Caenorhabditis elegans: one gene and its partners. The protein of the gene in region 2 purifies or fractionates together with the protein of the main gene of each other region. This does not show direct contact. Each region holds a gene or a part of one and is shown on either strand. Other genes may lie near its edges.

Evidence for each region.
Region 1: the proteins of snap-29 (region 2) and mam-3 fractionate together in Caenorhabditis elegans (co-fractionation; one large-scale study listed by BioGRID). This does not show direct contact.
Region 3: the proteins of snap-29 (region 2) and syx-3 purify together in Caenorhabditis elegans (affinity purification with western blotting, with the first as the bait; one study listed by BioGRID). This does not show direct contact.
Region 4: the proteins of snap-29 (region 2) and C32B5.15 fractionate together in Caenorhabditis elegans (co-fractionation; one large-scale study listed by BioGRID). This does not show direct contact.

The regions. Positions count from the first base shown.
Region 1 is NC_003282.8:13,441,216-13,449,332, reverse strand, and holds the start of mam-3 (MAM domain-containing protein), read left to right. Parts: upstream 1-3,957; 5' UTR 3,958-4,066; coding exon 4,067-4,208; intron 4,209-4,927; coding exon 4,928-5,055; intron 5,056-5,486; exon of another isoform or gene 5,487-5,588; intron 5,589-5,831; exon of another isoform or gene 5,832-5,949; intron 5,950-6,017; coding exon 6,018-6,184; intron 6,185-6,572; coding exon 6,573-6,835; intron 6,836-7,074; coding exon 7,075-7,256; intron 7,257-8,117. Other genes in the region: uso-1 (Uso1_p115_head domain-containing protein), read left to right, coding at 1-54, 1,031-1,251, 1,296-2,041, 2,465-2,608, 3,158-3,301.
Region 2 is NC_003281.10:8,772,716-8,779,655, reverse strand, and holds snap-29 (Soluble NSF attachment protein 29), read right to left. Parts: upstream 3,404-6,940; 5' UTR 3,391-3,403; coding exon 3,336-3,390; exon of another isoform or gene 3,280-3,335; intron 3,237-3,279; coding exon 2,902-3,236; intron 2,618-2,901; coding exon 2,297-2,617; intron 2,231-2,296; coding exon 2,108-2,230; 3' UTR 1,761-2,107; downstream 1-1,760. Other genes in the region: K02D10.4 (uncharacterized protein), read left to right, coding at 296-595, 819-1,055; Putative NipSnap protein K02D10.1, read right to left, coding at 3,769-3,833, 4,137-4,700, 5,172-5,344, 5,733-6,511. UniProt on the Caenorhabditis elegans protein: SNAREs, soluble N-ethylmaleimide-sensitive factor-attachment protein receptors, are essential proteins for fusion of cellular membranes.
Region 3 is NC_003284.9:5,345,445-5,353,734, forward strand, and holds syx-3 (Putative syntaxin-3), read left to right. Parts: upstream 1-3,653; 5' UTR 3,654-3,672; coding exon 3,673-3,702; intron 3,703-4,165; coding exon 4,166-4,273; intron 4,274-4,703; coding exon 4,704-4,890; intron 4,891-4,937; coding exon 4,938-5,114; intron 5,115-5,479; coding exon 5,480-5,695; intron 5,696-6,369; coding exon 6,370-6,572; downstream 6,573-8,290. Other genes in the region: C26B9.1 (PH domain-containing protein), read left to right, coding at 126-310, 357-418, 867-1,041, 1,128-1,238, 1,313-1,498, 1,543-1,641, 2,471-2,518; pfn-2 (Profilin-2), read right to left, coding at 8,083-8,183, 8,230-8,290. UniProt on the Caenorhabditis elegans protein: Potentially involved in docking of synaptic vesicles at presynaptic active zones. Acts in the intestine to regulate anterior body muscle contractions (aBOC) and the expulsion steps during the defecation motor program (DMP).
Region 4 is NC_003280.10:968,491-976,334, reverse strand, and holds C32B5.15 (F-box domain-containing protein), read left to right. Parts: upstream 1-3,384; coding exon 3,385-3,728; intron 3,729-4,904; coding exon 4,905-5,525; intron 5,526-5,572; coding exon 5,573-5,690; 3' UTR 5,691-5,792; downstream 5,793-7,844. Other genes in the region: fbxc-17 (F-box C protein), read left to right, coding at 1-77; fbxc-14 (F-box domain-containing protein), read right to left, coding at 824-962, 1,020-1,763, 1,962-2,032; C32B5.6 (Resolvase/invertase-type recombinase catalytic domain-containing protein), read right to left, coding at 5,816-5,890, 5,935-6,089, 6,246-6,309, 7,187-7,312, 7,399-7,457.

The DNA of each region.
Region 1 (8,117 bases), on a different chromosome or scaffold from region 2:
ATGGTTCGGATGTGTGACTCTTATGCATTGTCTGTATGATGTTGATCATTTGAGGTGAACACGTATATCTTTTAAAAAGTCGAATTCTCAAAAAAAAATGTTCAAACATTTCCTAATGGCATGTCACATTTAGTGGTTTTCTACGCGTTTTTATGAGAATCTATTATTTAAATACATTTTCAGTCGATAGGTCCAAATTCGGACTGAAAATATACTCAAAGGAAATCTGAGAAATATTTTTAAATGACTTCAAATTTTCTCCTAATTCCGAATATCTATATGAAAAAATTCGAAAAAATTTCTCTTATTTTATATTTCAGCGTGAAATCGCGATTTTCATTTGCGTCCCCATGAGATTCTTCAAAAAGGCCGAATTTTCGAGTCAGAGACGCCGTGTGTCGATTTACGAGATTTGTGTATATTTACGAGAGTTTCAATTTTTATTGGATGCTGATTTCCGTTTTACAACCGGGTTTCCTTCATTTTCGTCGGTTTTAGTTTTTTTTTTGTTGAAAATGTGTTTTTTGAGGTTAATTAAACGTTATATAATCAAAAAACTAACAACATTTTTGATTTTCAGTCAGGAAAAGCATATATTTGGATTTTCCGTCGAGTTGTTACCAGCATTGGAAATTTTGTTAGTATTTTGATAATATATGTTTAATTGACTTTGGAAAACACATTTTCAAAAAAAAACTGGCAAAACTAAAGGAAACTCGTCGAAAAACCTGAAATCATTATCCAATAAAGATTGAAAATCTGGTAAATCGACACATGACGTCTCTGGCGCCAAAATTCGGCGTTTGAAAAGTCTCATTTAGGCGCAATTGAAAATCACGCTTTCAAGCTGAAATATAAAATCAGGGAAATTTTTTTGGAATTGTTCATTCAAATATTCGGAATCAGCGGAAATTTGAAGTAATTTAAAAATATTTTTGAGATTTCGGTACTGCACCTTTAAATTCATAAAAAAAATTAACTATAAGAATTGAATTTCCCAACAAAAAAAATTCACCGTTGTTTTTTTCAGCGAGCAACTTCTTCGAGTAAACCTCACCGTAGTCACAGAGGATCCTCCATTGACACTTTTAAATCATGTCTGCCAACTACTTGTTTCTACTGGAAATCGCCGACCACAGACCAGAGCCGGACTCCTGATGCTCCTGGGAACGTGGCTTCAAAATTGCCCAGCCGCAGTTTCCGATTTTATGGCTAAAGACGAGCATATACAGTATTTGACAACTAATTTAGGTGGGAACGGTTATTCAATTTTAAATAATTTTCAAAAGTTTAAGTGGATGAATGTGGTGAAGGATCGGAGAGTGAGCAGCAGGTTCTACGAGGACTCATGGCTTTTGTTCTACTATCGTGCTTGAAGAATTTACAAAGTAAGGAAGCACGATCATCGATGGAAATATTGATTCAAAGACGTGTTGGAAAGGAATTGATTCTGTCCGCATTGGAGGGACTTTCAAGAACCGAGCAATTTGTTAGAGCAGCACAAAAGCAGCAGCCGACAAATGAGCTTTTCCTCGATTTCCACTTTGTTAAACTTTTCAAATCTCTCGAAGGAACGTTGGCTAAGCAATTGAAACCGAATGGAGAATTTAATGGAACTAGCAATGATAGCATCATTCAATCATATAAAGAACTCATAAAACGGCAAGATGGTGATATTGCCCAATTGAAGCAAGACAATAAGCGAATGAGTCTTGAGATTGAGAAATTAAATGCAGAAGTTCAGAATAAGCAAATGGAACGAGAAGTTGAGAATCTTCGTGTGAGATTAGAAGAATCTGAAGCATTTAAAACTCAAAATGAAGTGCTGAATAGTCAGCTAGTAGAGTCACAGAGACTCACACAACAATGGTATGCAGAAGCCGAACGATACAAGCAATGGGCTCAACAATGGCAAGCCTATCAGTTGGCACAGCTTCCGAATGGTGTAGAGACGGGATTGGCTCAGCTTCAGCAACAAGTCAACGAGTTGGAGCAGCAACTCGGATTTGGATATCAGGCATTCGAACAGCAATCACAAACGGTATGGTAGACAGGAGATTTTATCAGAAAATCGAAAAATCGAAAATTTTCGTTTTTTCGAAAAAAAAATTTGTCGATTTTTCAAAAATTAGCTTAAAATTTTGGTCAGGGTTCTTCTTTTTTTGATGAAAATATTTATTTTTTTTCTCATCAATAAAACAAAAATTTGATTTTGTAAAATCATATTTTGTGGTTAATTTTCGGAAATTTTTTTCGATTTTCCGGAAAATCGAAAAATCGAAAAATGACACAATTGGATCAAAAAACTAAACATTTAAATCTGCGAAAATCAAAAAAAACCAAAAAACAATTCGATGCTTAAATTTATTCGAAAAATTTTTTTTCGGCTTCCGTTTGGTCTAAAATAAAAAAAATAACCAAAAAAAAATAAAATAACCATAAAAATAAAATTTACATATTTCAGATGCTCCACTATACATCAGAGAATGCAAATCTTAAAGATAGACTCGCGAAAACGGAAGCTGCTCTCGCTGAAGCCAATTATAAAATTGAGCAATTGAATTTGAAGCCAATTTCGAATGGAATAGTTGTGGAGCACGAACCACAGGTAGAATTCGAGTGGAATTTTCGAAATTTCAGGAATTTCTAGAAAAAACACTGAAAAAGTATAATTTTATTGGAAAAGATGGAAAATCTTACCAAAATTATCGATTTTTTCATTAAAAAATCGAAAAAATGTGTAAAATTTCAGTTTTTCGAAACCTTGATTTTTTAACAGATTTCTTTTTTTTAAGAAGGAAAAAATATATATATATATAAAAATAGTTATATATTTGAGGTTAATTTGAGCAAAACTTGATAAAATTTCAATTTTTTTTTTGAAAAAAGCTGAAAAAATAATAAAAAATTCTAAAAATATCAAACACTTAAAATATAATTTTTCTATGAAAAAATTAATTATTTCGTTTTTCAAAAAACTACTTTTAAATTTTGGTTCGATTTTTTCTGAAGAAATTATTTTTTGCTACAGATTTTTCATCCACTTTTTCATTTTTTTTTCAATTTTCTCTGGAAAAAAACTAAAATAAAAACGTTTCGATGAGTAGCTTTTGAGCTTTATCTCAGTGAAAATAATTCAAACATTTCAAATTTTCAGGCTGACTCCGAAGAGTTTTCAAAACTGAAACAAGAACAAGAAGAACTTCTGATGCTTCTCGCTGATCAACACAATAAAATGTCAGCCTACCGACGCCTTCTTCGAAACCTAAAACAGCCAGTGACAGATGATGAGGACGAGTAATAAGGCTGTGGGATTACTAAAAATCGGGTTTCTTTTTTGTTTTCTTTGGGGGGTCAATCTTGTCATAGAACATGTAATACTTCCAATCAACTTTTCTTTTTTTAAATCGAATAGGTTTCCTGTATAATATTTAATTTATAACGCATACACCGTACTTTCGCAGGATTTTTTAAGTGTCTTCTTAAAGGCGCACAGGTTTTTTTCAGATATGTTTCGGCTTTCTTGTTTTTTTTTCTCAAACTGATTTAAAACAATTTTTAACTTATGTGATAAATGCAAAGAAAATAAACAAAATTAAATACCATAAAAATTTTTTTGGGCTCGCCGAGACCCATAAAACCGTGCGCCTTTAAGAAGACATCTCAGAGATCTTGTAAATCTACGATATCGTATTCGCCGTGATTTTGCTGGCAAAATATTTTCTTCCTGTTTTTTTTGTATCCCTACCTACTCTTTCCATTTCGTTCAAACCACACTGTCTTCTGTGATACCGAAATTATGTTTTTTTTTTCCTTTCAATTTTATTTATGTAAAACTTAATAGTAAATATGGTCCAAATAAATTATTGATTGATTCCGAAATCCATCATTCTCTCTCTCAGGTTGAATGGGGATTCGGTGAATGATCAAATGATATAACGAACCCGTCTATTCTCCATATCAATAGTGATTCGGAAGCCGGTTCGTTCCTCTCGCCTGCTTCTCCTGGCCCGCGCATCTGCCATTGTTCTTCGCCTGTACACACCCTTTTTGCCTCTCGAAAATAATGATCTGGAAGAAATTTGCACTTTTGCTCATTTTTCTACCATCTCTAGAAGCATGTCATGCTCAATTTCAAAAAGAGCTTCGATATTTAGACTTGTATCTTGGTATTAGGCCAGATAATAATGGAGAGATTCCTGTGGAAGGTTGGTTTTTTGGTTTTTTGAAGGAATTTACTGTTTTTTGCTCCGAACGAAAAAAGTCTAAATTTTCGATTTTTTGGAAAAATTCAATTTTTTTTCAATAATTTATGGCCACATCCCGATTTTTTAAAAATGTTTTTTTCAACATTTTCCAGTTTTTTTTGGATTTACTCTGAATTTTGACGAGATTTTTTTTTCCAAAAATTTAAGCTTTATCGGAAATTTACTTGATTTTGTAGTTCCTTATTAAAGGCGCACGGAATTAAAAGTTCGCGGTAGTTTAATTTTTATTTAAACTTTGAAAACTGATTGTCAACGATTTATTACAGCTGAAAACCATGTGATTTCATTGAAAAAAAATACAATACTACATCCAATGAACAAATAAAACTACCATAAACTTTTTTGCGCGCCGAGGCCCGTCTGAATAATTCCGTGAGCTTTTAATGAAGTACTTCAAAATCTACAGTAGTACAGTAGTAGTAAAATTACGGTATTTTATCCAGATTTCGCTAATATTTCGCTAATTTCTGTAACAAAAGTATGTAACAACAATAAATCAGCCGATTTTTACTTTCATAAAAAATCTGGTTTTAGATTCGTTCTTAAAAATTAGTGATAAATAAGCAATTTTAATGTGAAGTGTTTTTTTGTTTTTAAACAGCTAAAATTATCAAACCACGAGGATCTGCAAAAAAAAACCACAATCACGTGGATTTCAGAGGCCGTTGGATTTGCCACGTATATTGAGTCACCTGATGAACTCAACTGTGACTTTGAGACCGAATGTCTTTGGAGAAATGCGCCGACTGATAAGCTTTTGGATACCAGTGATTGGTGGTATTTTAAGGTTTGTTATTCATGAAAAACTTTCCTTCAAATGTCTTGTGCCATTCTATTCTTTTTTTGGAATATAAAACCTTTTCTGAGTGGGTCTTGTCACGATCTCAGTTATAGATTTCGCTGAATACAAACTTTGAATGTGGTATAATTGTTCAATTAGAAATAAAAATGTATGTGAAATTCCATATCCTACGCTATATGTAGGCCAGGGTATAATATACAATATTTAGCTTTCAGTTTTGAGACGAATAATATGTAAAAGATACCAACTAATTTTGGCAACTAATTGGTTTTATGAACTAGTTTTAACTGAAAGTTTCAAAAAAAAAACATTTCAAAAACTCGATTGAAAGTGGCAACATTTCGAGAATTTATTCAGACAATTCAATTATACAGTTCAACTTTAGAACCATTGGAAAGTTCACCAAAAATTATAGAAAAAATTTGGAACGCTTCACGAATTTGCGTGTCATCCTTGCGCAGGGGCCATGCTAATCTTCTCTGTATTGTTCCAATTTTAGTATATGTTCTCGGAAGAACGAACAGTTAGATTTACATTTCAATTATATAGGGACCATTTACACAGCAGCTGACATATTTGGAGTTATGTAAGACACTATGACTATGCTAGGGAAGTGGAGATGCAAATCGATATTGGTATCGCTATAGAATAGGTGCACAAATTATTGATCTACATCTACATTTGGTATAGTGTCTTACATAACTCCAAATATGCCAGCTGCATTGTTAATGGTCCCTATATAATTGAAATGTAAATCTAAATGTTTGTTCTTCCGAGAACATATACTAAAATTGGAACAATACAGAGAAGATTAGCATGGCCCCTGCGCAAGGATGACACGCAAATTCGTGAAGCGTTCCAAATTTTTTGACGATTTTGTTAGACAAATCTATAAATTCTATACTTACAATTTTTCAAAACTTTTTTAAAAAATTAAACAATTTCAGAAAAATGACGAGAAAACTTTCCCAGTTCAAATCCAGCCCGGAAATCCTGTAATTCCAAAAGGCGAACATTTTATAATTGCTGGAAATACGACGAAAAATCCGAATGGAGCAGTGTTGAGCAGTGCTCCAATTGCTTGTCAAAAAGGATTTGCCAACTTGACTTTCAGGTATTGTCAAAGATAATTTTAAGAATTTTAAGCACAAAGTTGGAGGGCCTAAATTTTTTTTGAAATAAAATGTGTTTGCTCTTCTTTGAAAGCTTAGATCTCTACTGTCTTTGCATTTTTTTTAATATGTAAAAAACGAACTAAGCGTTCTTCTATGATTCAATAGTTTGAAAAATGCTGATATAAAAAAAAAAAATCGAAATTTTTAGTAATCTTTATATGACGCACAATTTCTCGTTTTTACTACAAAAATATTGCTATTTAATATTTTCATATTAGATTTGAGTTGCCTGAGTAAAAGCTCACAAAGTATGCGATCGGCAAAATACTGTGCTCTAACTAACATAGATTCCAAAATAAAATTATAATCCCAGTTATATCCTTCTAGCTTCTGGCTATACAACAATGCTCAAGTGGAAGTTATCATCCTTCGAGCAATGAATCGTAGACGTCATCTTCAAGTCTTGCTCAGACCAAAAATGAAGTGTGATTTCTTGGGAGCCGCCAATGAGGAATGTCGTGTCGAGATTCCGCCGATTAAGGAACCGTTCAGAATTGGAATTCGAGCATTTGATCTCAAAGATAATACTGTTGGAAGTTTGGCAATCATTGATCATATCAGATATCACGGAAAGATTTGCCAGCAATCACGTAAGTTTTAAAGTTATTCGAGATATGAAGCAGTCAAAATCAAATTGGCGCGCAAAAAAAACGATATTTTTAATCCTTTTTTAAAAGATTTTGTTCTGTAAATTTTTCAAAATAAAACTAGATTTGTTAGAGAAGTTTTAAACTTTCACTGAACATCCAGAAAAATCCAATGCCTCACTCTTCATAATCTAACAAAATATCTCAATCACTCCCATTTTACCTAAAATTAATTATTCCAGCATTCCCATCATCATTCTCATCTCTTCGTATTCCTCCATATGATAATAGTCCACTTCAAAGAATGTCTGATTTGAGTTGTGAACGCCCGCTACGATCCTGTCGATGGGGAAATATGGCCAAATCTCAATTAAGTGAATGGAGAGTTGGTAGATCAATTGATCGATGGGTTGATATGTTTGAGGTTTGTTTTAATTAAATCTTGGAAATAAGATAATTTTTTAAACAACATTTTGAAGCATTGATATCTTCAAGCGAAATATGGGATCGAACCACTAAAGTTAATTACCGTATTTCCTCTATTATGGGGTTATTCAAGTAGTGTCGGAAAATTAAAAAGTGTAGAAAAATTACGTCACACATGTATTCAAGTAAATAAAAACATGTATTTAAATACATTTGTGACGTCACAAATGTATTTAAATACATTTCGCTACATTACTTGAATAACCCCATTAGTACTTCACCCCATTGTTCAACTTTCACAGCTTATATCTCAGTCATCGTTTGTCCTATTAAAAAATTGTCAACTAACAAAATATTTTTTAACTTTATTTCTATCATTTCGTAGTTAATAATACATTGATATCTTCAAAATGAACCGAGTTCAAAGTTAAGTAGTGGGGTGCAATACTAATAGAGGGAATACGGTAAAAACAAATTTTCGTCAGTATGTCAATAATTTAAAACCCATCCAAAGTGCAGAAAAGTGATGAAAAATGAGTTGTATGAAGCATTAGACAGGTATTCATCTCTATGAAGTGGCCTTTTTAACTGTTTGTTAAAAAATAATTGGGCAATCCACACGTTTTGAAAATTTCAACAGCTGAATACTCTCGGCCGACAAACTTTCTTCATACGTTCTTGGAATATTTCCAAAACTTCTACTAATAAAACTTTTGACTTCTTCTATTTAAATGTTTTGCAACAATATAGGCTTATTTGGCAGCTTCAGAAGTTTCAATCCGGAGACTTGCCAAAGTTGGCTGAAACAATGAACTCAAAAAATTTGGAATTTTGAAATTAAGAAGGATTATAAAAATTG
Region 2 (6,940 bases):
TGACTACTTAACATTGAAAGGTTATGTCTCAATTCATTTAGTAGATATAAATAAATAAATAACTACAGAAAAATAGAAAAAGATTCTACAAATACTTTGTCAGTTGACAATTTTCGTATAGGAAAAACCAAAACCGAGATACAGGCTGTCAAAGTTGAAGATAGAGAAAATAGAGACAATACGGTATTTTTTCAAACAATTTTTTGGAGACCAGATTGAATTTTAACAAACTCAAAAAGCTTCTAAACCACACAAATACTCAATTAACAAATTTGTTTCTAATCTTCTGATTCAGGAATACTACCTCCTGTGCCGCCGCCGTCCATCAACGACAACAAAACGTCGCAGGATGTCTGATGATTGTGCAAGTAACGAGCTGAATAGTTCAATAGTTGCTTGTACAGCATTTGTTCATGTATTCGAGACAATGGATGGACGTGTAACTGTCAGATATTGTCTTGATCATTGTGGACATCCAGTTGAAGTTGACGATCATCATAGAAGAGAAACTAAAAAGTTTGAAAATCGATTAACATTGAAGAGAAGCTCACCGTGTGCCACATATGAGCTGTGTGATGAGAGTTGTGATTGTGAGGTGAGGGATTTTTGAATTTATATTAAATAGAAAATTATTTTAGTTTATAATAAGCTACAGTAACAAATTATATTTTAAACATTGAAAAGTATCTATACTGAAATATTACCTGTTCACGAAAAAAGTTAGGTTATAGGGGTACGGTAGCTGACAAATCAAATTCAAAATCCTGCAATAAATTACTGTATTTTCGTTTATAACGTAAACATTCGAATATTTACAGCAATCATCTTCATCAATGGCTTCATCTCCATCATCATCAGTGGATTTCGAAGATGAAGATGCTTCAAATAATAACTACAAACTACAAGAATCAATTGATGCATATGCAGTTTCAAGTCTCAATGCAATAATTAATCAACGTCTTGATTCAACAGCTGATCGTCTCAAAACACTGACAAAAGTGCTCCAGGAGTTGGCTGTTGATATTCGGAATACCGATTGTCGGATGGTTATCTGAAGAAACTCAATTTGAAGGATTTTTCTTTTTTGTTTCATATACAAAGTATATTGTATATTGAGGCGCAGAAAAATGCGATGTTTGAAATCAAAGTGCAAGCACGTTCCACGGCTAAATAAACAACTCTCCGCCCCTAAACGTTGGGTCTCGTTAGGTAAAACCGTAATTCAAACTTTTTCAAGCAGTTATAGTTAAAAATGTATGTGAAATTAAACGTTTCAATCATTTTAATAATTTCATCAACATCGAATGTTTAAAAACGTTCAAATTTTCGGTTTTCCTAACGAGACCGAACTGTTGAGGGCGGAGCGTTTTCATTTGCCAATGGAGCGCAGTTGCACCTCGATTCAAAAGTTCTCATTTTCTACGCCTCCATAATATCACTTTTGTATTAAAACAAAGCAAATATTTCCATTTCATCCAATCTCCCAATATTTTTCTTCTCGCGTTCTCTGATCCTCTCTCATTCTAACCATTTCATTTTCCATTTCTTAAAATTCCCGGTGGTCTTAGCCAAAACTTTTTCCAGTTTTCTAGTCCATCTCAAAAATCTATACGTCACAAAAATACATTTCACAACTCAAAAAACAGTCGCCTCTTGCTTTTCTGAACGAATTCTCATAATGTAAATACATATTCTTCCTAATATTTATGAATGTCATAATATTTCCCCTCAAGACTGTTACTTAAAAATGAAGACAATTTCCATGGAATCAATATTCATGTACATATTCACAAGCGACATCCACACACAAAAGCATCCAGATTATACATTTAAAGTTAATATAGAAAGTTCAAAGGGGAATTCGAGGTTGGATCTATCACATTTTTCTTTTTTTTTTCTAATTTTTTTCACATCAATTTATGAACCAATTTTCTCAAAGAAAGAACATAAATGATAGAAACGTGTTAGATTCAAGTTCAGAGATTTAACTCTAAGTGGAGTGTTGGAACAAGAAATAAACTTTTAAATAAGGTAAGTTTAGGGGAATTGAAGTGTTTTTGTTGCACTAGAGGACGGTGAGCCGGAAGAAAAAAAAGTAAAAAATCAATCATTTCCACAAAGACGTGGCCTTCATCATGAGAGACATCTTTGTCGAAGTATCCATGCTTGGGGTCAGAGACTCGGCTGTAGTTTGGCTTGTTGATGCACCAGTTCCCAGAATCTTTTGCATCTGAAAATATGTCAGTTAGTTGAGTTAACTCTTAATATATTTATCGTGTATCTTGTTTATCCTTACTTGTTTATCCTGATCTCTAACAATTCCATCGTTACGTTCAGCTTTGTATTGAATACGATCGAGCATCTCATTTTGTGAATCGACCTCTTTTCCGAGATCGGCTCCAAGACGTTGCAAGTTCCGAAGATTGGCGGACATCATGTCAAGATTCTCATCAATTTGATTATCCATAGCTTCCCAACGTGTACCTTTAATTGCCGAACGACTAGATTCGGTCAAGGTTCGTTGTCCAGATGGTCCAGAGAATGTTGCGGATCCACCACCGCTGGAGAGGTTGGTAGCGGTTTCCGACAAACGGGATGCTGATTTGGATTGCGGGACCTATAAATATATCAATTTTATGACGTATTATGGTATATTCTCGGAAAATTATTAATTTTTATATCGAAAATAAAATGATTCCAGTAGTTCCAAATGTTATATTCTACTAAAATTATGTAAGATTTTGAACGCTTTCTTTATTCAAAAACAATGCTCCATTTTTTAATATTAGAAATTTATCAACTCTCCAAAAACTCAAAACTCGTGTTCTTTGAGACTACAGAAATCCTATAGTACTTTGTAGTTTCTGAATACAAAAATTCCAGTTTAAAAGTTAAACTCACAGTCGGAGTTTCCGTCGGCTCTTGCGGTTTCTTCGTGAATTTATTTTTGAACATTCCACCGAAAAACGACTTCAAACTATTCAAATTGCGTTGTGTCATTTGCGTGGTTCGATGAATCTCATCTAAATTCTTTTCAGTATTCTCAAGCTTCTCCCGTTGCTCAAGCAACTGCTGAGCAGTCGACGTTCCGATTTTCTCCGAATTTTCGAGATGACGACGAGATCTTTCCGTACTATCCAATGATTCCTGCAGAGTTTTCTCGATTTCACGCTCGTAGTAGTCTGCTTCGTCTTCTCCGGAATAATGTCCCATCGTAGTGTAACTTTTTACGGGCACTGAAACAGAGAAAAATCAATTTTCTAGAATTTTTCCGTACTAGATAATGCTTTTAAATTTTCTGATGGATTTGTAAAAAAATAGAATTAAAAACTCACTTGTAGAAGAAGCAGCACTCGGCCTGTAGTCATCATCGAATGGATTACGAGACATTGATGAAGTTTCTAGAAGTTCAAGTTTACGAAATGAACAGAATAAATAACTTTTTAGAATAGATACAAATGGCGGAAAAAGTAATATAACCGCGTGAAAAAAAAATGAACAGTGAAAATAAAATAGTATATGCAATATTTATAAAGAGACTGGAAACCAAAATGTGGTGGGGAAAAAACTCGAGGGGAAAATAATATACATGAGAAAACGCGGGAGAGGGGAAGAAATTAAAATTAGCACAGACACCAGTACATATAATATACGATTGACTATTTGAAAATGAAAATGTGTGTGGCAAAATTAAAACGTACAAGCATTTCTTCTATATTAACCTATTCAATTTCTCAATTTGTGAATTATGACAAACATGAGAAATGTTTATTCCAGTTGAGAATATTTGGTTGGAGTCAAAATTTTCGATTGCATCTTCTTGATGAGAGGCACTGAAAAAATAAATATTTGTTTCCGTTAAAAATAACAGAAAATCTGATTTTTAGGTTATTTTTTCGGTTTTTTGTTGCGAAAATTTCAAAATCCTATGGCATTTTGTTTGAAAATTAGGAAAAACAAGAAAAAATCGAAATTTTCTAGATTTTAGTGTGTAAAAAATAATCAAAAATCCGGTTTCCCGCGGGAAAGTCAGAAATTTCGGGTTTTTTCTAAAATTTGACAAAAAAGTTTGTTTAATTTTTCTCAATTTTTTGTTTTTCATTTGTATTATTCGAGAAGACAAATTTCAGACTAACCAGTATTCGCAACAGTTGCATCCCATCCTGGCTTTGCCCAAGTAGCATGTCTCGTATCGTTACGGCCTGACATTGATGGATAAGCCCAAATGTGATAGACAACATAGAGTTGTCCAACTTGAGCAAAGAATCCTCCAACATCTTGATTCGCCTCACGTCTGTATTGAATTCCTTTTGCCCATGCAGATGCCCAATCAATCATAGTTCCAGGTTGAAGAACATATGAACGAAGATCATAAACATGATTTGGTGGTCGTTGTTCTGGTTCTCTCCAATAGCTGAATGATTTTACTATGAGATTCTTGCGGCGACCACACAGTTTAGCAACGTCATTATCAGCTGCACGGATTCCAGAATCTTTTCCATGAAGAGAAATCGATGAATCAACATCTTCATAACCTTTGTTATGTCTCCACAGATGAATTGCCTGATCACGAGTTCTTCCATAAGCACATGTCCATGATCCAACAAGTTCAATTGATGGATTCTTTTGATTCATTTCGTTTTTATACTTTCCAAAAGCATCTAAATATGCATCCTGCTCTCCTGGGCGGTAGTTGTGAGCTGAAAAATATTGTTTTAAAAAGTTAAATATATGACACAAATAAGTATTTTATACAGTCTATTTTTTATTTTTCATCTATGACTTCAAAGGCGCATTAAGACATTTTTTAAAATCAATGGGTGGCGCGTGGTGAGACCATTTCGTATAAATGCGCGCGCCTTTGAAGTCGTAGAAGAAGAATAAAAAACACTGTAAAATAATAATAAAATTGTTATAAGTAAAATTAGTATTTAGAGCATTTTTCAAAAATTTAATGACAGAAAATGAATCGTAATGACCAAATATGTCATTTTTGAAAAATTCACACTTTTTCCAGATATAATACACGATTTTTTAAATTTTGCAAAAAAGTTTAATCGGGTAAATCGTTTTTGATTTCCCGAAAATCATTATAATTTTTTAAACAATTATTTTCGCTCATTACGGTTCATTTTCTATAATTTAAATTCTCAATTTTTTAAAAAACTTACTCATGAACTCGTACATGAGCTCTGAATTCGAGAGCAACGACGAATGTGACTGTTTCTGCCAACTCGATGGATCCATTGATTGTCCCTTGAGCAATCTACTGATCCATCCCTGCTTCTGCGGCTCACTATTTTCCGATTCATTCTGACACTGGATTGGTGTGGCAGATAGTTGTCTGAAAACTTACATTTATTTAAAGAGCTTTGACAAAAAAAATAATGCAAAAATCTAAAAAGGAACTAAAAAATAGGAAGAGCAACAAGAAAAAATCAAGATCTAGATATACCCTAGAGAGATAGATTCCTAAAAAAATTGGAAATATTTAAAGCCAAAATTAATCTCCAGTAGCGAAGCAGTGTGTGAATGTCGGAATTCGATCAAGTTGTCCTTTTTCCTTCGCATTATGAATATCGACAATTGTATGAACTCCAGTTGGCATCCAGACACTTGAAAACCTAAAATTTTGACAATAATGTCTAGTTCAAAGTTACTGAAAATAAAAAATAACCAAAAATAAGAATATTTTTGGATTATAATTTTAATTTCAAAACTTTAATAATCACCCATTAGCATTTCCGAACATGATATCCGTATCTAGACGATCACCAAACATCACAGTCCTTTTTGGATCCACATGAGCTCTTCGGAGCAAAAAGTCTGCCATCGGTTTATGTGGTTTTCCAAAAACTTTTGGATCTCTTCCAGTCACTGCAGTTACAGCAGCAGATGTTGCTCCAGATCCAGGAATTACAACACCTGGAACAGGACCTGGGAATGTGTAATCTTGATTTGTGACGAGATATTCTACACTCGGATCTTGTAGGTAATTGGATGCTTTCATGATTTTCGGATAGCTGAAGTGGGCATCATAACTGCAAACGACGGCTTTTGGAGCAATAGACATGTCAACTTTGTGAATGAAATCTCCATCAGTGTGATCGCGAATACTATCCGGTCCAGTTCCAAAGCATTTGACACCTCCGTCATTCTCAAGTGTTGCTTTCAGATTTTCCGTACCAATAAGGTAAACATATTCGCCCGAGAACTTATCCGCGTTACTTTTCAAATAATCTGCCAAAACGATAGCTGGACTAATAACATTATTCCTGCCGAGATGTCCAAATCCGAGCTTCTCAATCTTCTTCATATATTGTTCCAACGTCTTTGTAGAATTGTTCGTTAAAACAAAGACCTTCTTTGACGGATCCTCAAGAAGAAGATTGATCCATTCAATTGCTCCTGGCACTGGAATATCACCGGTCCACAAAACTCCGTCAGCGTCGAATAAAAATGTGTCATAATTGGCTAAGAGCTCATTTTTTGAGATCCTGTTTATACTCATCTGAATATAAAAATATTTGAGTAATAAGGAATATCAAGGGATATAGAAACTAAGAAAAAATTGAAAAAGGAAAGAAAAGGAAAATTCAATTTAGAAATACAACTAAATTTAAGCGATAAAGTATTGAAATAAAATCAGGTTTTTAAACCTTTGAAGGCACTGAAAATCAATATTGAACGAATATTTTATTGTGATGAAAAAATATCGATAAAAATCAAGAGAAGCGGCATTTTCATAAAATGAAATAGAGTGAGACTGTGAAAAAGTGATTGATAACGGTCTGGTCGACAGATGAAATCTCCAGGAAAAAGTGAAAAGAATTGATGGGAGATTGCGAAATTTTCAGGTGAATCATGCCATATTTCTATGAAATCTTGGAAGAGTCAAAACTGAAAATTGAACGAAATGGAATGGATACGAGAGATCCAA
Region 3 (8,290 bases), on a different chromosome or scaffold from region 2:
CTGATAAATTGTTTCAAATTTAAATGATGGAGTGCAAAACTAGGAGAGGAAATACATACGATAGTTGTAAAATAGTTTTTAAAAGTTATGCAGAAAAAAACGTACTCTTAAAAATGTCCTTTCAGACGTGTCAAAACTGGAAGAAGGAACTCCGAGAATCGCAAAATCCAGTGCAATCTCGGACCCAAAAAATGTGAATGCAAAAGTTTTGGCAACGGTTTACCCCGACAATGTCATCTGTGATTGGCTCACACCTCCACACTATGACGCTTACAGCATGCCGTCCATTTTGGCAATTGACGTTCCAACGGTAATTTTTCCAAGTTTTAAGCTTGAATTTCAAAAAAAAATTGAAGTTAACTGGAGAAGACTACATTGCAACCATCAAGGCACTTATTGAAGATAGTCGGTTTAAAATGTGAGTTTTTGAATTAAATTCTAAAATATCACAAATATTTCCAGAAAATAGATGAATAAAAAAAATCTGCTTTATATTTAGGAATAGTTTTTTTTTCAACTTTTTGTTAGTTGTTAGTAGAAGTCGTTGGCTATATTAAATTAAGAAAACAATTTCTAAATCAGAGGGGTGCCGCTAAAATGCCCAGTTTGGCACAATATTATAATTCCAAACAATTTTACAAGCAAAAAATTCTACATAACCTTTAGAAAATGGGAATTTTTAAAATATTTCACTGTGCCAATAAAACGTTCCGCACAGTTTTGGTTTGAACAAAAAATAATGTATATATTTGCTATTTTAAATGTTGATAACGAAAAAATAATTGAGTTAAGTAACCTTAAAAATAATTAAAATGCTACTACACACAAATACCAAATATACAATTTGTGATTGTTATTTTTTCCAGGTTTTCCACGATATATTCCCGCCTGATCGCAATATGGATGACATTCTGGATTCTAACCCTAACGATCACTCTTCTTTTCCAATCAAAAGGTGGATGGCCTGTCATGATTTGGTGCCTTGTATGGGCGGTGCTACTTTTTGTTGGAGTGTACGCGTGTGCAATGATAAGAAGAAGGGTATGTGGCAATGAAAAGTTGGGCAGAGAGCATCACTGCTCTGTGTGAAACTTGGGGGCAAGAGGCAATGCATTTTCGCCTTGCAGATACGGATTGGACTGAACCACGTTGTCGAGAAAGCAAACAAGATAATTGTTGATCGACACTTTCTGACTGGAGTGGAAGATCGCGGACAATTGAGCTGCCACAAAGTTGTGGTAAGATAAGAGATCAAAGCAAATTTGAAAAATGCTTAAGGACAATTGTTACTAACTAAGAAAACGCATTTCAGATCCACTTCATCCGATTCAATGTTGGAGAATGTACTGCCGATGTTATCAAACAATTGAAAATCAAAAGCACTGGCGGATGTATATTTGGCGGTAATTCAGAAGAAGTCACCGATGAAAATATTGAAAGAGAAGCCGCATCCTTAATTTTGAAATATAGTCAAGAATATGTGAAAAGTGTTGTGAAGGTAACATTGAGCAAGATAATGTCTAAATTTGAAGTTGTTTTTAGAAACGGCTAATATTCCCGAGCAAGCCAATTCATGGAGTTTCCAACTACGCCCCAAAACACTGTAAAACGCAAATGTGCCTGTGTCAATTTATCGACGAGGTAAGCATTTTTTAATTTTGCTTTTTCGATCTAGAGTACATTTATAAATTATCTACCTTGATTCATTAATATGAAACAACCCTCCAAAGATTTTAGGTCTTCACAGAAGTCAATGTTTTGGTAAATAGGCAAATTTTTCAAAAACGTGGACTTTTCGAGAATTTTTGATTGAGCATTGCTGCATGCTTTAACGAGTAGCATATTTAAATACCAACAATTGAAACGCAATTAAGCTATATAACTCGTAGAGACGATGTTTTGGCATATTTGAAAATTATGATAGCTGAAAATTGTGTTTCCACCACTTCAAATCAGAAAATTTCAGAACGTTTTTGAAAAGTTTCACTGTGATATTCAAATATTTTAGCAAAATGATTTTGAAATAAAATCTTCGTTTTATTGACAATTTTTAAAAATTTCAGAAAGTTTTGTTTTTGACCTAAAACAGTGAAATGTGGATTTTTCAAAATTTGTGCTTTTCTAGAAACAAAAGGTATTTTCTAAAAGTCCACCAGAAAACGAAAAGATAATTTTAAAAGTGATTAGCATATGATCAGATGGTTTTTTTTGTTGAGGAACATTAGACTTTTAAATTGTTTTGTTTTGATCAACTAATCAACGAAGGTCCACTATTTTGACCAATTCATAAAGATTAAACAAAAATGTAACACGTCAAAACTGTTGGTATTTCATAGAGTGTCCTGAAACACATTTTTGGCTTTAGAGGCCAACGCAACGGGCTTCTGATGAGCTCCAGATGAGCGCAAAACCTTTATTTTTTACCTATATTTTTTATATGGATTTTAAAAATTCACAAAATTTATTTCAGAAAAAATTCAACGCAAAGCCAAAAAAGTGGTACGAGAAATATATTTGATTACGAGCCATCTGATATGTGATGTCATTCTACTTCTCGAAATTGCAACAACAACAACACAACCACAATAGACGACATAAACCCCCCGCCATCGCGAGCTTCCATGGGTCATCAATGAATTCATTCCTTTCTGCAACCCCATTTCACTCTTTTTGTCTACTTGCTCCCTCTCAAAAATTTCCCTTTTTTTTGGTTTCATGCTGGCCTTCTATTTCAAATCTCATTTATTGTATCGCGTTTGTGCACAATTAGTGCATGCGTCCGGAGCATGTTCGCCGCTTCAAATTGCCCACAATCTTCTCCATTTTCTGTGTTGTAGCTATTTTCCTATTTGATGGTGCCCTTTAAATACCCTTTTGTAGTTCTTGGTTAGTGAACTTTTTCTCTTTTTTACTCTTCTGGTTACTGGCTACCTACTCAAATAAAAAAGTTACATATATTGGAATAAGATGGAATATTCCAACAAAACTTTTACTTTTACTTTTTGTTTGAAGACAACTGGGTTTTTCTTCCAAATTTCCAATTTCTAATTCACTTTATGTCATATATTCTGTGCTGTGTGCTGCATGCGAAATGAGTTGGTTGAGACGAAGAAAAAAGTGCTGAAAACAAACAAGCCGACAAATTGTTAAAAACCATATTGTATTGACCGAGTCAAGCACCTGCAACCTCTCTATCTCTCACTTTTAAATTCTCCGATTTGCCATCTTTTTTGCGGCATAGGTATGACGAAAGTACGATTTTTGTTTTAATAAGATGAAAATGTGTTTCACAGTGGAATCTTTCTCGAAAAATCGTCGTCTGTTTCTCATCTTGTCAGTTGTTGGTCTCAATATATTTTTTCTCTTTTTTCCCTCAGCCCTCCCACACAGATGATATTTGATTTTTTAAAATTTCGAACATAGTTTCTCATTGCTATTTGCTCCAAAAACTATAAGCTTCTAGGAAAAGTTCATAATTCTTTTTATCGTTTTTACGCGAGTTATTTTTAAATGATAACAACATTCTTGAAAAATATAATTCAAAAGATGAGAAAAAAATATTATCAGCAAAATACTTGAAATTTTTCTCCCCTCTTTGTTTGGTTTTGCTTGTTCTACTGAAAAAAAATCAAAATTAATATAATAAATTTCAGGAATTCGTCGTAGTCAGAAATGCCTAGGGATCGGTTAAAGGAATTACAAGTGAGTCATATATTAAATGGGTTTGTTTTAAGGTGTAAAAACATGTTTTTAATGTTAATTATACACAAAACATTAAAACAAAAACAAACATGTGTTTTGCTGTTAAGTTTTTCAACATGCTAGCTATGAACAAGAACCAGTAAAATAACGAATCTCAAAAATGTATCTGGAAAAGGGCTGACGATTGTTCGTTTTTAAATTTATCAATTTTAATGACCCTCGTAATTGTAATTAGAGCGTAAGTATATGCAAAATTTCAAATTTATAAACAACAATTTTCCCAATTTCACAATTTTTAGTTTTTGCTTGTTTTGTGCTCTTGTCAAAAAAAATTTTGGTCGTTGTCTATTTTGGAGAAACAAATTCAACTTCCGAAAAAAAAAAACTTAGCCCTGTTCTGAGGGTACTCAAATGGATTTTGTTGGTACAAGTTATCTTCATAATAAGAACAGCTAATTTTCAGGAAAAAGCAACAGTTAACACTATACATGCATATAATTATGATCCACCTGCACGAAAATATGACGTGGAATCCCAACCTTTAATAAATCAAGATGCTGACTTTGAAATGGTAAGTGTTTTGTTTACAGCCTTTTTTGAAACAAAATCTTAAATGTTTGGGCATTTTGAGACAAAAAATCTAGTTTAAAACATCAAAACATGGAGTTCTGTAATAGATGATGCAAGTGATAATGAAACTTTATTTTGGAATTGCTTAATTTCTTCGATTGAGTACTTGTACATAAACTACGAAAATGCTCATTCTAATTAATCCAAAACACAGAAATGTCACAGAAAAGTGATGAATAGGCTCAAAAAGCTCAAACGCAGTGAACTAATCACTTCATCGATTTTCATAAAAAATAATGCCAAATGAACTTGAAATTGTTCAATTCATTGAAGTCGTTTATAAAAGAAAGTTGAAAAAAAAGTACAAAATACAAGTACAAAGCAACAAATAAATTAAAAACAAACATCCCAAAACTATACTCATTTTTCAGTTCTTAGAAAGATGTTCAAATATTCGCGGAGGATTAAAAAGTCTCGAGGAAGACTACGACGCAGTCGTGCAACTCCACGGAGCACTTCTGTCCACGCCTGGTGCGGATTCAGAAAACTCGAACAAATTGAAAAGTCACAACCAGATGTTTTTCTCAAAAGCGGAACAAATCAAAAATAGTTTGAAAAGTAATTGATTGGAATCTAGAGTATCTGAATTAGAAACTTTTTTTCAGTTTTATCGGAGGAAACCAGCAGAATACCAACTACAGCGTGCGGAATTATGCGTGCGAAAAGTGATCAAGTGAAATCTATTTACAAGACTTTCGAAAATATCATGTTGAACTTTAATCGAGAACAAGATGAATATAAAGAGAAGGCAAAGAGGAAAATTGTGGACTACCTAAAAATTAGTAAGTAGTTTACTGCTTTTCATAAAACTTTCGAACCGGACGCCCTGTTTTAAAAACTTTTTTTCCGAGTAAAAAAACCAATGCCCAGTTGTTTCAATAAATAATAAAACTGTATTGCAAAGTCCCGTAGTTTTCAAATTGATTCACAAATTGTAGTAAAAAATCGACCCGTAAAATGTCAGCTGCTGTATTTTTTTCAGAATAAAGTTGGTACAATTTTACAATATGGAAAACCTAAAAAAATATTTATCATATTGATGACTGAAAATATTTCGGAAAATACATTAACTTATATTTGAAAAAAATACAGTTTATGAAGATTTTTTTTTACAAGAATCGCAAAGTAAACAAAATTTTTTTTTTAGGAAACATGCAACTCAGCGATGAAGAGATTGAAAATGCAGTATCTTCTGGAAACCTTTCTGAAGTAACAAAAGGTGTGATGTTGGCGCTAAACGAGAAAAAGGCCTTATATGATGAAGTTAAATCCCGAGCGGATGAGCTGAAAAATTTGGAACGTCAGATGGGCGAACTGGCACAAATGTTCCACGATCTCCATATAATGGTTGTCAGTCAGGCAAGTATTTATTTTATTTTTTTCCGAAAAAAACCACATAAAAAGCGATCGCGTGAAAAGGAATAAAATTCATATGCATTTCGGGGAGAGGTACATCATTCGGCTTCAATTCATATATTATTGATTTTGGTAATTTTTTTGCTTCATTCTGTATATGTTTTTACAACTGTAATTTTTTAAAGTTTCTACATTTTAGGAGTTTTAAATTTGTTAAAAACAAATGCAACAAATTGTTCGAGATACGATGCCGAAATCAAAACGCAAAATTTTCTTTAAAATTATTTTTCAGTGCAAATCTAGACAACCTTTCACAATTATTTTCGAATTTTCTCATAGGAGCGCTATTGTGATTTCTGTCAGGAACGCAATAAAGAGAGGAGCTATGTTTCGACTCCGTAATTTGTCTAATTTTGCTCTCCCACCTGGACCTGCATTCCTGTTATATCGATCAAAAAATGATCCCCATTCACTGTTTTTGAATTTTTCAATGCATCTTACTGTTGCTTTCCAATAATCTTTTTAAAATCCAAATTATTTTTTAATATATGTTTTCAATATCAAAACTGCAGCTTTAAACTTTGGAAATATTGAATTATATTTTTAAAAAAATCTCAATCTAAAAACGACCTAGTTGTCAATAAAGTAACCATTTTGAACATTTGTTTTTGTTTCAGGGAGAGATGGTGGACAGTATTGTTAACAGTGTAGAAAATGCCACGGAATATGCTAAACAAGCGCGTGGAAATGTGGAAGAAGCCCGAAACTTGCAAAAACGAGCTCGAAAAATGAAGGTGTGCATCATCATTGGTTCAATTATAGCTGTTTTAATTCTGATTCTCTTTATTCAATCTGCCGTTTGCCACTTTACTCCTATTTGTTAAATGCTCAAACATATGGTTGTTTTGCTGCAAAATTGCGGCAACTCTGATTACACTGTATTTCACTGTATCTTTATTGCACATCCCTCATCATCACGACCAGTCACTAATTTGATCGCTTTAAGATCTTTCTCACTTTTTGATTCGTTTCTAATTTTTAATTTGGCAGATTTTCCAACTGATAATATGGAGTTCACTTATCCGTTTCATCGTTCTCAGCTTTTCTGCCGTTTATTGTGTGTTTTAATATTCAATATTTTCTCTGTGTGCCTTTGTCTTTTTTGTTGTATTATGTGTGACCTATGCTTTGAATATCAACAAGAATTGGTTTTATAATTAAAATTCTTTCAATAAAGAGAATTCTGATAAGAATTTCATTTTTTTTAATGTTATAAAGTGTTTTGAATAAGTTCTAGTAGTCATGAAATACAAAGAAAATTTTGTGTAACATTTCTCGAGAAAACACAAATAAAATCAGCAAATTCCAATACGGCAAATTACTGAGAATTTCAAAAACCATAAATTATCAAAATTTTTGCGTGCTTGAAAAATTAGGAAACTAGCATTTGCCGACATTGCCAATTGCTTAAATGTCGAGGAGCTAGCAATTCCCAATAGCCAAAAATGTCAGAAACCAGTAACTGCAAAAACTTCCAAAAAATATCCAATTGTCGTATAACCTGGTAACACTTTCAACTTGTCTTTGCCGAATTTTCCTTGATTCTTTTTTAAATTTAACGCACTTCATAAATCTTCACGTGCACTACTTTGCTTTCTTTTTCGATAAGCTTCAAATTAACAAAACCTAAAAATACGGTACCTTTTAAGAAAAGCATAATTTTTTGCATCAAAAATGAGCAGTCTTGTCGAGACCAGGAGGTACCATATTTCTGGGTCAAACATTAAAAAATTTTATGAGAGATATTTTCTCTAAAATCTTATGATTATCGAAAGCTTCAAGTTAGTCCAGTATCCATTCTTTTGGATCCAGTTATTCTTTGCAGTTGACTTCAATTTTTCCATAGTTTTCTTTCTCTACATTTATGCGTCTCTCATGTTTTATTAATGTATGAATCAGGCGCTGATCGTCAACGAAAATCGATTTATAAAATAAAAAAAGGAAAAATCCGTGTTCAAAGAATCACTTAAGAAAAGAATGGGATGAATGGGATGGGGGTGGGGAAATTGGAATCAATTCGGAATGACTTACCGAAACCTCGAAAATTGAAAAATGAAGTGAGTGAAAAGAATATTTTAATAAAAGAAAATTTGAGAGAGCAAATAGTAAGGAACGAGAGTAAAATATAGCAAGCAATGAATTGTTAATTAATTTGACCGAATAGAACATGAAGAATTGCGAAACACGCACACATAGACAAAAACGAGAATAGCGCAGCATAAGGGAATCGAGTTGCAACTGGTACCGTACTGCTTCCAAATCTGAAAATAAGACTGTTTATAGTAATTGGTTCATCAACTATTCCAACAAAAAGTATTTTGTTACCTTAGGTATCTAATAACCAGAGCTGGCCAGGTACTGGGCAATGTATTCGACGCCGGCACGGACTGAAGCCGATTGAGCGTTGTCTCCCTCGTACATTGCAATCACAATAGCTGAAAAAAAAACCATCGTTTTGGGAAGAAATAAGAACTCGGTCACCTTGGTTTGTCTTGGCAGCGAAAAATCCGGTTTGCTCCTTCTTTCCAAAGATGAGCTTCTC
Region 4 (7,844 bases), on a different chromosome or scaffold from region 2:
GGACCTCCAAAGTGGTAATCAAGAAGTTTCAAAATGGAAATTCGTGGATTTTGAAAATGAAAGTGGAAAGCCGATGAATAAACTGATATTTTTAATTCTTTTTTTTTGAGTAATGAATATACATATGAAATATACTGGTCTAGATACGAAATTTAGTCAATTTTAGACTAAAAATTCGAATTCCACTGGAAATTTTACCCCGGGAACTTGATCTTTGATTTTTTAAGAGGGGCTTTTGGCTCAACTGGGAAGAGCTAAGAGGAAAAATTGTATGGAGCAATAGGCCAGGGGTTCGATCCCTAACGAGGCATCACATTTTTATTATTTTTTATTATGTTCAAGGGTGATTTTGATGAAATTTTGGTTTCAGCCTAGGAAAATGTTAAGCATTTCAATGTTAGGATCAACTGGTAAGAGGCTAGAATGACCAAGAGAACCCCAATGTAATTCTTTCGACCCGTTGACAATTAGAGCAGATTTGCAGCAGCACAGTGGTGGTCAGCTGGACGTGGTCAAATAACTTGATCAGGTGTCCCTGAACCAGATCTCTAGCTTCAGAATTATCCTGACCTGGCATGCAGAAGCTTTTGATCGAGTATCTTCTGAAAGTGGCTCGACCCTTGCAAAATCTTCTTTTTTGGGATGGAGAGGTTTTAGAAAAGTTGTAAAAAGTACGAATCTTTCTAAACGAAAACTATATCAGACCTGCCAGATGTCTGCCGCTGTGATATTTTTCCAAAAACACAGAAATCCGATAGTTCTCAAGTCACAAGACAAAACAGTTTCATAGGAATTCTTTCATTTTTTCAACGATTAGTTGTTCTCAAAAAAAAGTAGGGAAAAGTCTTCGCCGCTCAATTTTGAAACCCAAAATCCATGCATCTCCCTGCTGTATCTTGCTGATAACCAATTTCGAGGTGCTGTTCTTCTTGATGGTGAGCTGATTGGAACGTCGAGAAGATCTGAAAGTATTCAACTTTAGATTTTTTTTGAAAATATTCAACCTTAGATTAACTTACCCATCTTCCAACATCGCTTTATACCTCTTCCTACTCCTCTCCATAACTACAAATACAGCTCCCCTAGTTGTGTCAAATGTATAATAAGTTCCATTTTCTATATCACTATCACCCATAAAGTATTCTATAACAATTGAAAAGCAGAAGTGTCCCCTTTCGAAATGTGCAGTTGTAACTCTCCGATTTTGCAGGAACGTCAGTACCCGCCTGAGGTTGTGTGGAGCTGTGGTTGGAGCTTTGAAGTGCCATTTTTTAGTTTTTCGGTTTACTATTGATGTAATTGGATTGTTATTAGTCTTCAGAAGGCTTTTAAATGGGAGTTTTATCAAGCTTAATGGTAGACAAGAGTTTGCAATTAGTGAACTAGCAGCCGACAAGCTCCGGGAATCAAAAACCTCCAAAACATTGACATTGATCCTGGCAGCTAACGGAACCCGTAGAGGATTTTCACAAGAAATTGCAAGTTGGCCCACTTTCACAGTTCTTCCTTTAAAGAGTTTGTCGAGAAGGTACTTCATAGTTTTGGTCAGATTATTTCTACTATTCCTTAGTTCGACTGTACCACTGATACTTGGGAATTGATTGATATCAAATTGATAATCAACTTTTCTATCGGTAACTGTAATTTGACAGGTTACCCGGTTAACTGTCACGCTGTTATCTGTTATCTTGAGATAGTGGATGTAGGAAGGGGTTGATTTTTCTAAGGTATGAATTGAAGGGCAGACGAGGCAGAGTTGGATTCTGAAATATACTTATAGTTAGGTAGGTTTAGCTATGTATTAAAAAATTGTGTGGCACTTGAGCAAAAAGCTTGAAACATAATGTGAGCTGTGATTTGGATGAATTTCCTCTATACCCAAAAATTTCAACTCCGAAAACTCCGTCATTCTCAAAACTCAACCCTCTAAATACGTAACTTTTCCAAGCCAAAATACTCACCTCAAACTTGGATCCAAATGCTTCAATATGAACTTCAATACTTGGTAGCTTACTGGTTTTGAATTTAACATAGTGTGCAGGTGTAACGACGAGAATGGCACAGCAAGACCCCACTGAGATTATATCGATTTTATATTGGCTGGAAATTAGGGCGCATTTGCAGCTGGGGTCATTTCGCTGAGCAAAAGGGTGGTACGGTTATTTAGGACAGATGGTGTTTTGTCTAAAAAAACAGGTAGGCAAGATCTAGTCAGAGTTTATAGGGCCTGGGGCCCTATAAACTCTCGGCAGTTATTAAGCTTTCAATTCTAAATTTCACTCTGTTGAACAGTAGACTCGTAAAAAAAAAGTGCTCAGAAAATCTAGTCCATCAGACCGCTCTAATTTTTGCAAATTAGATTTCATAAGAAGAATCTATACATGTTGCTAGTTAAAGGTGGAGTAGCGCCAGTGGGGAAATTGCTTTAAAACATGCCTATGGTACCACAATGATCAAATTCCTATTTGAATTACCGCCAATAGTTCGATGTTCGATGGAGCGCGCTTGCATTATTTTAACTTTTATTTATTAATTTTTCTTATTTTTAATTGATTTTTCATGTTTTTTTTTGAGTAATTTTACTGGAGATTTATCGAAAAATTCAAGATAAATGTAGATTGTTCACTAAAAATAATTGAAAACAGAGATATCACGTTTTTCAACGACGTTGAGCCTGAAATAATCTATTTCAAAGATTTAGATTCGAAATTTTAAATTTAAAATAATGCAAGCGCGCTCCATCGAACATCGAACTATTGGCGGTAATTCAAATAGGAATTTGATGCAATTCGAGATTTTTTCAATTTTCAAAAAATCATATAAAATTTAGAAATTTTTTTTTTAATTTTTACTATGATATTTGGTCATTGTGGTACCATAGGCATGTTTTAAAGCAATTCCCCCACTGGCGCTACTCCACCTTTAACCGTTTTCAGCGAAAAATTGGTCCTGCAAGTTGACGCCTCCCGCAATTCCATAGACCAGCGGGAGACTGCATCGGTGGGAAGACGCAATACGTCACATGGTTGACCCCTCGGTTGGCCAGCACACAGCTCCATATTTTTGAAGTTTTTAGGTACCACCAAATGTTGTATGAATGTTATATTCATGGTGCTTTATCGTTTTTTTCCCCGAAAATGTTGAAGTTCAAATCAAGATGAATAAAACATCGAGGCTTTAATCGGTTTTGCTCTGTACTCAATGGCTTTATTTTCAATCGCTGTTTTTTATGAGCCTGGCACTTATACAATTCTATTGATAATTAATCCTGCACTATCGCTATCACTATGCACAATTTTTTTTTTCAAAAAAAAACAATTACTTTTGTATTGAATTTTCTCTTTTCTCTATAAGTTGCTGCTTACCATTTCCTCTTATTACATAATGTATATAGTTTTTTTTTTCAGAATGCCCTTCAACCTCTTCACCTTTCCACTTGTGATCCGTAGGCAAATTCCTCAGGAAATGAGCTTCATCGACGTGCTTAACTTTTCATTTTGCTCTTCCAAAACTGAAACGTTGGCCAGAAAATCAATAAAAAAAGGATACTCGTCGATGATCCATTCGTGTTCGAATTTATCCGTTGAACGTTCTTACGTCATGCAAATGAAGGACATTAATAATTTAAGTGAACACTTATCGTTTTTAATTAGAGAAGCGTCAAGAGAAGACATTATTCAGCAAGAAAAGTGGTTTAAATTGAAAATTGGACAAACAATGGTTTACTGGTCAGTTCCTTACGTTTTGAAAATATACTAGCCTGATTATCAGCGTTTTTGAGTTCTCTTAAGCGCAGCCGAGCTCAATCAAAATTTTCAAAAACTGTACTTTGAAAAGTTCTGACCGAAAGACTGTAAGTATAGGGTATCCAATATGTCCATATTACACATGTAATACAAAAGTCTTACTGTAAATACAATGCTGGCCAAAAAGATATGCACAAACGGTTTTTCGTTTTTTTTTTTGGCTTTGTTTGAATGGCCATAATTGAAAAACTAAACGTTGTTTTCGAAAACTGTCAACTAACAAAATGCTGGTCATTATGTTGTTCAAATTGTCTGATAAGTATTATTTTACAAAAATTGCCTTGTAAAACAGTACAGCGACAGACATCTGGCTAGTCGATTTTTGACTGAAATCGTCTGTAGCTCAAGAAAAAATCGCTTCCATCTTTAGTAAAAATTATTTCATTAATACAATTATTTTCATGGAAGCAATTTTTATCGAGTTACAGACAATTTCAGATTCAAGGTTAAAAACCGACCCGCCATATGTTTGCCGCTGTAATGTTTTGCAAGGCAGTTTTTGTAAAATAATATTGGTCAGGAAATGTCAACAACATAATGGCCAACATTGTGTTAGTTGCCGGTTTTCGAAAATAATGATTGCTTTTGATTATTCATTTGTTTTTTTGAAGAATCAATAATTTATCATAGTTATGTAGGTCGTTTCACGCCTGAAAACAATACTCTGAAAAGTCCTATCATTTTTATGAAATATGATCCACAACAGTTTGGAATATATAGGCTTAGTTGTATATCATTCACTTCCCGGCGGGTTGAGGACAAAGTTATTATATGCATAGGGCATAAATGTTTATGAAGATCATGTTATTAATTCAATTATTCTCATGGAAGCGATTTTTTCTTGAGTTACAGACGATTTCAGATTCGAGGTCAAAAATCGACCAGCCAGATGTCTGTCGCTGTACCGTTTTTCAGGGCAGTTTTTGTAAAATAATATCGGTCAGGCAATGTCAACAACATAATGACCAACGTTTTGTTAGTTGACCGTTTTCGAAAATAATGATTAGCTTTTAAGTTATGGTTAATTTAACACAGTCCAAAATTCACGAAGCCCCGTTTGTGGCCAGCACAGTAAATAATTTTAATTTTGCATTTCAGCGCAACTCCGTGCCATGAAGCCAGCAGTATAATCAAATTTTATTTCAATGGATCAACCTTAAAAGTAGTTCACGAAATGCTTCGAAACACGATTTTGAACCTCCACCAAACACATCTCAAATCAAATATAATATTTTTTTGGAAGCAAGGAATGAGTCAACAAAAGATTCACCATTTCTCAAATATTCGAAATGTCAACCACATTATTCTAAGTGAAATGGTTAAGCTAGATACAATCCCAATCACCTTTCTAGATCAAATCTTTTCGACATGGCCGAACTTAGGCAGTTTGTCGTTGTATCCACAGATAGATGGTGAACTTAAAGATGAATGTGGTTTGTTCTCAATCAAGAGATTGTTTCTTGGTAGTTCATGTTTAATGGCTGACAGTGTAATCCCTCGATTCAAGGGGCGTCATTTAAGCGCCAAAAATGCATTTATTTCGTCTGAACAAGTTATGCACTGGTTGCACCAATGGACAACGGACATAAATTTTCAAAACATCCAAACAATGACCTTTTCTTTAGCTCCCGGCTACCAATTGAACGTGGAAAACATTTATCAAGAAGTTAATGCAAAACCATGGGATCCTGCCACACGACCCATAGATTATTGCAACGAGTGGGTGATTTGTTGGGGAACTAATCTGTAGACTCGTTTTTTTTCAGAGAAACTCTCGAAAAAATTATCAATTGTGAAGAATGGCTTGATATCTCAAGTAATGGACGACTGATATCAATTTTGGTCAAACCCAAGTCATTTGGACTGGTTCAATGGCAACTTTAAGTTTCTAATTTTTTGTAATCACTTGGTTTACATAGTGAGATGTTGTTTATCGTTAAAATAATCCAGATAAATTTACAGTACATTCCAAAAGAAGTAAAATAATAGTATTTGCAAATTTTTGTTAATTAAATGTCATTCCCGAAGCGTTCAGCCAGCAACGCTTTCACTCGCTCGTCGGCTTCCTCAGCCTCTTGATCGCCCTGAAAATTAGACGGTTCGAGAAAGAATGGCTATGTAAGCTCACCTCGGCAATATTCTCGTAAACCTGAATTATCAACTGAAGAATCGCTGCATCACGAGTCAATAATACTCCTTTGAGTCTGTTAATCAATAACTTGACCTCCATCGAAATGCGTGGATGGGCAAGAAGTTGGAAGAAAGGTGTAGCCAAGTCGCAAACTGAAAAAAAAAATTGATTGAAGCTCGGATTTTCGCTATCTTATAACTTCTATCGATTTTTACTCACTTATGAGTGAGTTTTAGAAAACGAAATAAAATTTATCGTAAGAATACAACATCAATTTTTTTTCAGATCAATTAGAAAAAAAAACATACTTTCGTGGAGCCCGCGGGAGTCCATGGTGTACAGGTCGACTAACGATGCCATTGAATCAATGACCTGAAAGAAATGCTTATTATATTTAAAATACCGTATTTTCTCTATTAGTCTTGCATGCAAGACTAATTGTGCAAGACTAATAAAGACTGCAAGACTATCAGGAGCTGCAAGACTAACGTTCGATAATCCAACAACTTTTTAAATTGACAATTTCTCGTCAAAAACTTGACTTGAAACAGTCTATCACACAAAATACATACTTTTTTTTATTATTTTATCAATTGCTTGAACACCTTAAAATTTAATTCAGCCGAAAAATGACAAATTTGTTTAAGGTTCCACAAAATATTGCTGGTCTGTCAGAAAGAGGGGTGCAAGACTAATAGAAGCTGCAATACCAATAAAGACTTCAAGGCTAATTTTCGATTGGTCCGTAGGGGTGAAAGACTAATAGAGACTGCAAGACTAATAAAGGAAATACGGTAAAGTAAATTTATACTGCTTATAAAGTTATTTTTTCTAAATATTAACATCGTTTTTTGTTCTTATTGAAAACATCTAATTCCAGCCATTTTCCGTTTTTTGTAGCATAGTGAAAACTCAGAAAAAGAAAAAAAACGATGTTTCGAACAAAGAAAAACCAATACTTATGGATTATATTCCCGCAACTTTCAAATTAGATTAAAGTTTGAAGTGATACCAACTCAACTTTAAGGGTTTTTTCTTGGAATAAAATTGGAAGTGGACCAAAAATTTTGGTTGTTGAGGCCGTGACGATTTTGAAAAAACAATAGTTTGTATTGAATTGATAAGAAATGAAAGGTTTTAAGTAAAATCACACATAACTCTATCACTTTTTTGAAAATCAAAAGAGTTTTTGAAATCAGGGCGTGCAAGGTTTTTCAAACGGAAAATTTATTAAAATTCAATGAATTACCACAACGTCTTGGTTGGCAGCAGCCTCGTTGAGAAGCGGGACAACTTGTTGTAGTCCTTCGGGATCATGTTGGTCGAAATAGGCTCCAACAGCATGTACGTTTTGATTGTTGAGGCCTTGGTGAGTCTGAAAAAACGTGTGTCTATTTCTAAATTTTCAGTTTTTTGATTCTTTTAAATTTTAGATAACACATTAAACTTATAAGCTGTTACCTCATTATACAGGAACAACTCCGGGATCATGATTTGAAGACGAAGTAGTCTGTTCATGGCTGAAATTCGAAAGAATTTTTAGAAAATTGTGGGTATCAGGTTTTGAAAATATGCAAAAAAATTGAAAAAAGAAGCAAAAAATTGTTAAAAGACCCTCTGTCCTTCTTTTTCTGTTATTTTACTCACAAAAAAACGATTTCTGCCGCACAAAAATGTGTAGATCAAATCCATATGAAAAAAATTTTGTAGATCAAAAGTTTCCAAAAATGGTTCTGATGTCAAAAATTATTGTGTATTCACGTTTTTTTTTCCAGTTTTCAATCAATGGTATGATATCTTGTATTTCGGTTATTCTCAATACTTCTAACAAAAAACTAATATTTTAAATTTATTTTTCATTAACTTTTCATGTAGTTTTAAACATTTTCAAGTTGAGTTATAATATT